2 linked regions of the Macaca mulatta genome follow. Each later gene encodes a partner of the first gene's protein in a complex. Links are inferred from orthologs where the notes say so. Each region holds a gene or a part of one and is shown in the gene's direction. Other genes may lie near its edges.

Region 1 (3,722 bases):
TCAGAGCTACTAAGAAAACTGAACCTAAGGTATGCAAAGTCCTGCTCCTAGCACTTAAATGTAAGCTACTCTTATTCTAGTTACACATAAAGTTACTTCCAAAAACCTTACGAAATTCCCCGAGCACTGTCCATGGTATGTGGTTTCCCGGTTGCTTATTGGGTGGTCCCAAGAACCTTCCTTTTTTCCTTCCTGAGGCGTGCCAAGTCCCCTCTCCTCTTCTCTGGGTGGTGCTGACGCCTTCTTCCCAGGCTGCACCTTTGCTGGGCCGGAGGATGCCCTCGCAGCGGAGCGCCAGAGCCACCAGGCAACCTCCCCAGCCTCCACCCTCTAGCCCGGGCTCCCACCTCCGTCCTCGGGCCCCTCGAGTCACGTTCTCCTACTAAGCAGTTGGGCCGCAGCGCCCCGCGCCGGTCTGACCCGGAATGCCTGCTGGCCGCGGTAGGCCGAGGACAGGCGGGGCTCTGCAGGTCCCCAACCCACGTGCTCCCGGCCTCCTCCGCAGGGCGCCGCCTTCCGGCTAGGCGCAACATGGACTACATTTCCCAGGGTGAACAGCGGCGGGGCCTAGACTCTGCGGGGGCCTGGGGCGGCGTGCCGCTCCACCGCCTGCTCAGGGGAGCGCGGACTGGCGCGAGGACAGGGCTAAAGACCCGGAATGAGTTTCCGCGCAGTTCCGCTGGGCCGTGCCGGGCGGTGCCGGGCCGTGCCGAGCCAGAACTGGCGAGAGTGGGGGCCTGAGTTGCGGTGCCGGGGACAGGCGCTCGGGGCAGCCCGCGCCTTGCCGAGGTCCCTGCCCCGTCCCGGCCGGGCGGGCTTGTCTGTCAGTCACTGGGGCGGAGGCAGCGGCGGTAGCTGGGCTGTAGCGGGGCGGTGAGAACAGCGCGGGCCAGGCCGAACGGAAGGGACCTGCCACAGCCCCTCAACTCCACGGACTCTTCGCCCCAGACTCGCGGAGCTGCATCTCCGCGCCTCGTCGGACGCCTCCGTAACCACGAAGGGCTCTCTCCCCCGTGACCCTCCAGCCCCATGACCTCTTCATAGCACCCGAGAGCTCACCCAGGCGGGGGTGTTGTGGGTACAGGCCATCGACCTTGTGACCCCTCAAGAGCCAGGGACTTGGTTTCCCCCGCAGGCCTCCCTCCCCAGTGACTCCCTCCACACAGATTCTGGGGACAGAGCTGTTACCTACCACTAGGATCCCTGCCTGAGAGCTCCTCATTGACGGCTCCCTCCTCGGAGTCCCTTTCATTGGGTCTCCTAAGAGCACCCCTTTTGGCCTCTGGCAAGCCTCCCACCCCCAAACGAGGTGGGGAGGCCTCGGCAGCCATGCCCGCCCTGGGCTCCCCCTCACCCCACCACTCCCTGGGCACCCAAGCCGGGGTCTAGCAGGGGGCCAGCAGCCAAGGGGCTGGGGCAGGAGACAGATCAGGGCCCACCTCCCTGCCAGGGAGGGAGCAAAGATGGAGCGGCGGGAGGAGCAGCCGGGGGCTGCAGGGGCTGGAGCAGCACCAGCCTTGGACTTCACTGTGGAGAACGTGGAGAAGGTATGAGGGCTCTGGGGTGGGCACTCCAGTGACAGAGCAGAAGTTCTGGGGACTGTCACTAATGGCAGAGCTCAGGCCTGGGCTGGGTGCCCGCTGGTATGGTGCCCCCAGAGCACCTGGCATTTGCTGTCTATCTGGGCAGGCAGTATTGCAGTGCCCTAATGGGCTATTTTTGTCTTTCCTTACAGGCAGGTCCCCTGTGGACAGATACTCTAGGGTCTTGGGATGGTCCCTTCAGGGTGCTGTGACTTAGCCTCCCATCCAGACTGGCTATTTTCCAGCTCCATGGGAACTGCATGAGCAGTGCAGTAGGAAACTGGGAACCCAGGAGACCTGCAGCTCAGTCTCCTGGAATTATCCTGATGCCAAACCATCCTGGACCTGATTTTGTTGAGCCAAGGGCTCAGAAAATGATCTGGAACTAAAACAATCTGGGTTGTTTCGACTCTTTGAAGAAGGGTCCTTCCTTTATTGGATGGAAGCCAGACCAGTCCTGAGCAGGCAGGCCTGGGGCTGTCTCCCTTTGTTTTGTGCTGAGTCCAAGGGTCCTGGCCCAGCTGGGAGCCTTACAGGGCTCCTCCCTACTCACCTGCCCACATAGCTCCCTGCCATGGCCCTCCCAGGCTCCCCCACTGCCCAGCCCATCTTTCTGAACTGCCTCTTTAGTTCTTTTTTGTATCTGCTCCCTACAACCTGAAATGCAGGAATGCATACACCCTGGGATGAATGGGGAGATAGGGCTCCCTTACTTGAAAGCAGGGAATGATTGCAGATGCTCACTTGTTATCCTTAACCCTGTTTGCCATAACAAATAATGAGGATGCATCTCTTCTGTCTGCTTTGGCATCCCTGAGGGGCCAAACAAGGGCCAATGGCCATAACTGGCTGTCAGGGGTACGAATAGAGCTAAGCCTACTTGGATGGAGCCTGATTAAGGGTCAGGGTCCTGGCCACACTCTCCCACCCCTTGGAGCAGGGCAGTGTTGGCATGGTGGCGCACTGTTCCATGTGCTATTGGGAGATAAATCTCACTGTTTTCTTACTTGATAAAGTCCCATTGGAATTGAGACCCTGGGGATTCTGCTAGTGGAGAGCACTAGGCGAGGTGTTTGCCAGGGCTGCAGCTATGGCCAAGGCTTCTCTGGATCAGTTGGTTGGACATGTGCCCTCTGAGGAGTGTTCTCACCCTCCCCTCCAGTATATCTGTGCCCCAGGGCTGCCTGGAAAAAGTCTTAGTCCTGCTCTGATTTCACACTGGCTTTGGTGCCAGCATCTGGAGTGACCTAGGGATGATCCTGGGGGAGCTGAAAGGAGCTGTTGGAGTTGATGGGAGCAGCTGTGCCTGGGAGGGTCAAGTCCCCTCAAGCTGTTCCATGCCCTTCTCAGACTTAGCTTCATCCCTGCGAAGCTGTTCCTTCCACCTGGGCTTTGCCCTCAAGTGCCTCCCCTTTGGGGAGATCAGCTTCCTCTTTTTTCGCTTTCCTGTGGAGATTCCCTCTCTGAACCCATAATGTTTTGCTATAAGGAGAAGAGGATATGGTAGAGCATGAACAAGGTTCAGGCTCTCAAGATATCAGCAGGACCCCAGGCCCAGGAAACACTGCAGAGCCCTGAGCTCTCCCTGCTCAGCCCCCCAGTCAGGGAGAGGGAGCACCCTTGCAGGACCAAGTCACACCTCTGTTCTGGGCTCTGGCAGGATCCAGAGTGGCCAGCACCTGTTCAGTCCTGTGCTGTCCTGCAGGCGCTGCACCAGCTCTACTATGACCCCAACATTGAGAACAAGAACCTGGCTCAGAAGTGGCTGATGCAGGCCCAGGTCTCCCCACAGGCCTGGCACTTCAGCTGGCAGCTACTGCAACCTGACAAGGTACCAGAGATCCAGTACTTTGGAGCCAGTGCTCTTCACATCAAGATCTCTCGCTACTGGAGTGACATCCCCACTGACCAGTATGAAAGCCTAAAGGCACAGCTCTTCACCCAGATCACCCGCTTTGCCAGTGGCTCCAAGATTGTACTGACTCGGCTGTGCGTGGCACTGGCCTCACTGGCTCTCAGCATGATGCCTGACGCTTGGCCATGTGCTGTGGCAGATATGGTACGACTCTTCCAGGCTGAGGACTCACCAGTGGATGGCCAGGGTCGCTGCCTAGCCCTGCTAGAGCTACTGACAGTGCT
Region 2 (3,746 bases), on another chromosome or scaffold:
CCTTGCCCTTCCCATCAGGCTCCCAACCCGGCTGGGCGAGTGAAAAGGTTGCGTTATGAGCCAACCGGCTGGGCGCGGTGGCTCACGCCTGTAATCCCAGCACTCTGGGAGGCCGAGGCAGGCGCGAGTTGAGGTCACTAGTTCGAGACCAGCCTGGCCAACACGGCGAAACCCCGTCTCAACTAAAAGTACTAAAATTAGCTGGGCATGGTGGCATATGCCTGTAATCCCAGCTACTCGGCAGGCTGAGGCAGGAGAATCGCTTGAGCCCGGGAGGTGGCGGTTGCAGTGAGCCGTGATCACGCCACTGCACTCCAGCCTGGGCGATAGAGCAAGACTCCGTCTTAATAAAAAAATTAAAACATTGGCCGGGCGCGGTGGCTTTGGGAGGCCACTTTGGGAGGCCGAGACGGGTGGATCACGAGGTCAGCAGTTCAAGACCAGCCTAGCCAAGATGCTGAAACCCCGTCTCTACTAAAAACACAAAAATTAGCCGGGCGTGATGGCACGTGCCTGTAATCCCAGCTACTCCGGAGGCTGAGGCAGGAAATCGCTTGAACCCGGGCGGCAGAGGTTGCAGTGAGCCAAGATCGCGCCACTGCACTCCAGCCTGGGCGACTCCAGAGCAAGACTCCGTCTCAAAAAATAAAATTAAAATTAAAAAATATATATATTTTTAAAACTGAGCTAACCATGAGGTTAACAAGTCAACCATTTGTCAAACTGGGAGACGCGCGTTTGCTACAAAGCAGCAGAGGTCTGGCTTTAACCAGCAGCGAGCGCCACCTCAAACCGCCCTTTTCTATGACGCAGAGGTTCTCCCCCGCCCTCCCTGACTCCGCCTTTTCCCTGCTTGCGGCCCTGCCCCTCGCGTCCTCTCCGGCTTGCTGCGCACCCCCCCAGAACGCGTCTGCCTCGGCCCTAACAATGGGGGTCAGTCGGCCACGCCTGCGCCATAAAGCCTAGGGGGCGGGCCCAGCCGGCGACGGGAGGCGGGGAAAAGCGACGCAAGCAGTCGCGACGCCATTTGCTGCCGCCGAGCGTGGACGCTGGCGGATCTCTGAAGAGCTCGGTTGCGATCCTCTCTCGCGCACGCTGCCTAGCCTCCAGCACCTCCTTGGTCCCGCGCGCTCCCTCGTGTCGCCCCTCGGAGCAGCAACCGCCTCGGTCGCCGTTACCCGGAAAGAAGTCAGAGACCCCGCGAGGTCGCCGCCACCGCCATGCCCAAGAATAAAGGTAATGCCGCCCGGACCCCCGGACCACGGCCCTCCTCGGCCGAGTTTCCCAGGTCCTGCCCGTAGATTGCAGGTCACCCAGGTCGCAGTGACCCTTTTTCCTTCCCACCCTACCTGCCCGCGGCTGGGCGCCCCACACGCGACTCTGAGCTCGGGAGAGGAGCTGGGAAGTAAACTCCTGTTGCCCAGTTTGGCCACATTGGGGTGGAGCCGACGCCATTTTTGTAGGGCCTCCTGCGGGAGAATGGGCTTTTGCTCCTGATTCGCGCCAGACTGACCGCGGCTCGGTGGCGATGGTGGCGGGAACCCTACACCGGGCGGCCTAGGCTTAGTAGATAGGCCCATCTGGCCTTCCCGGGCATGAGGGGTTAATCCCTGGAAGCCGTTCTGAACTTTTAAAAGAGTGCTGTCCGCGTTCGTGAGCACCAGGTACTCCTGCATGGATCTCTTTATGGACAGTTCAGTATTGTTGAGGCTACTCGTTGTCCCTTGTGAACAGTGGGTGAAACCTTGATGCATTTCTAAGGCTCACTTCTAGAGATTTACTCTCTCCATCCCTTTACAGGATATAGCTTATGTTTGTTTGCTGAAGACTTATTCCATATTTAGCCAAGTTTTCTACTTTTGCTTCAGATCATGCATATGTTGTGAGAATAAAGACCTAATTTAAGTTTTCTCCATTCTGAGGCTAAGGATTCACAAATGATCAGACTTAAGGATAACTTTATTTGGGATTTCCAAAACGAAAGGCCTAATCTTAAAAAAAAAAAAAAAAAAAGGCGTAACACTTCTAAATAAATTACTTTTATAGATTTACAGTGTTCCTGTCATTTCTAATAGCCTTATAACTTGTTGAAGAAAATTGTGCAAGTAAATATAGGGAAAATATTGTATTTTCCTACAGGAGAGGAGCATACTTCATAGTCCATAAGTAGTCTCCTTTGATTATTCATTCTTAGGAAATCTTTCCCTGACACAGGCCTACTTCTGCTCTCTTTTCTGCTTGACAGCTGGCTCCAGGAATTCTACCACATTTCCTCTTTGTAGCTGTCACTTATTACTTTATCCCTTAGGGTACTTGGTCAGGGTGTTCTGTGCACAAGTTGGTGCAGTCCTCTCGGGGGCTCTCCACCTTGCTGCCCTCGGAGATCAAACTTTTTGTAGCAAGGATTTTCACTGCTCATTATTTTGGAAAAGATCGAGTTATAAACAAAAAATTTTTTAAGTCTTAGGTTTTCTTCTGTATAATCCTTTATTCTCTCTGAGATGGTAAGGGGATCACTTCCATCTTATTCTCACCTTTATTTCTAGTAATAAGATTTTCAATTCTTCCACCAGGCTGTAAGCTCTAAAAGGCAGGAATAGTATCTGTCTTAATCACATTCGATTGCTAGCACTTGCCACTTAGTAGATGCTCAATAAATATTTGTTGGTTTAAGTCACCTTCCTCCTGTCAACTCCACCCTTAGGTGAATAATAGGTTCTGCTTTGGTTCCAAGGGGATAGGACTTCTACACTAAATCACATCTAGTTCCCTAGCCTCATGTCTTAAGAAAGAGCCTCTCTGGGAATTTCTCCAAAACAACTCTGGTTTAAAGAATGTTGATGTCACTTTAATTGTTGTACACTCAGACCTAGTCTCATTCATTCAACAGAGAATTTAAAGAACATCCCATTACATGGCAATAAAATACAAAGGGGAATGATCAGGGTATGGTTAATTCTGGTAAGTTGACAAGTAATGAATGGTTTCTTAAATAATATTTGAGGCATACAAAAAATACAGCTAACATAATGGACCTGGGAACCCAGGGGTTTCTCAGAACCTGGAAACTCTGAATTTAAGAATTACAACGCAAATTGAGGTAAAGCCCTAATCACCTTTTACTCTCTTTTTGGAGGTTATCACCAGGCTGAGTTTGGTGTTTATCATTCCTGTACTGTCTTGAAACCAATCAGTTCTTAGTTATCTTACTTAGAGGAATGGTACTTTTCATGACCCCTGAATTTTTTGAGATAGGTTTTACTAATGTAGAAATAAAGTCATTTATTGTTCTGTTTTTCTGCATTGGAAAATCCAGAAGCCCTGTGAATATAAGCTGTGGTTACACAAGTAAGGGTAAAATTTGCCACATACTATGTGTTAAGTGACTTTTGCTTTGGATTGATTCATATCAACTTATTCTAGAAATTCTTAGAAACCCATCCTCAAATCAGGAAAAGGGGTATCATTTGGCCCACTTATAAGCATTTAGGGTATAGTGCTCCCACACTTTGAAGAAGTTACTGCCTATGATTTTTAACTCACCACTCCGTTAGGAATGTATGGACTATTCTTGACCAATTCATTTGAAGAATTAGTGAACTCAGGTATATAACTCAGGAAACAGAGCAGGTATGATCTTGCCCTAAAGGAGCTTGCACTCTGTTTTGCAGATCTGGCATGATTAATGGCTTCATACTTTTCTCTTTCTAGGAAATTAGTTTCAGTGTTCCCTAAGAATGCCTCAG

Evidence for each region. The genes of interacting proteins can lie anywhere in the genome.
Region 2: the proteins of IPO13 (region 1) and EIF1AX are in contact, whole or in part, in a crystal structure (PDB 3ZJY), measured with the Homo sapiens proteins. The link is inferred for Macaca mulatta from reciprocal best matches to the Homo sapiens genes IPO13 and EIF1AX. Residues at the interface, in NP_055467.3 of Homo sapiens: Tyr365, Asp369, Leu372, Asn936, Lys937, Arg938; in NP_001403.1 of Homo sapiens: Leu42, Arg82, Lys88, Tyr106, Gly107, Glu108.

What each region holds. Positions count from the first base shown.
Region 1 is NC_133406.1:196,705,933-196,709,654, reverse strand, and holds the start of IPO13 (importin-13), read left to right. Parts: upstream 1-826; 5' UTR 827-1,463; coding exon 1,464-1,547; intron 1,548-3,243; coding exon 3,244-3,722. UniProt on the Homo sapiens protein: Functions in nuclear protein import as nuclear transport receptor. Serves as receptor for nuclear localization signals (NLS) in cargo substrates.
Region 2 is NC_133426.1:19,873,869-19,877,614, reverse strand, and holds the start of EIF1AX (eukaryotic translation initiation factor 1A, X-chromosomal), read left to right. Parts: upstream 1-1,032; 5' UTR 1,033-1,220; coding exon 1,221-1,236; intron 1,237-3,746. UniProt on the Homo sapiens protein: Component of the 43S pre-initiation complex (43S PIC), which binds to the mRNA cap-proximal region, scans mRNA 5'-untranslated region, and locates the initiation codon. This protein enhances formation of the cap-proximal complex.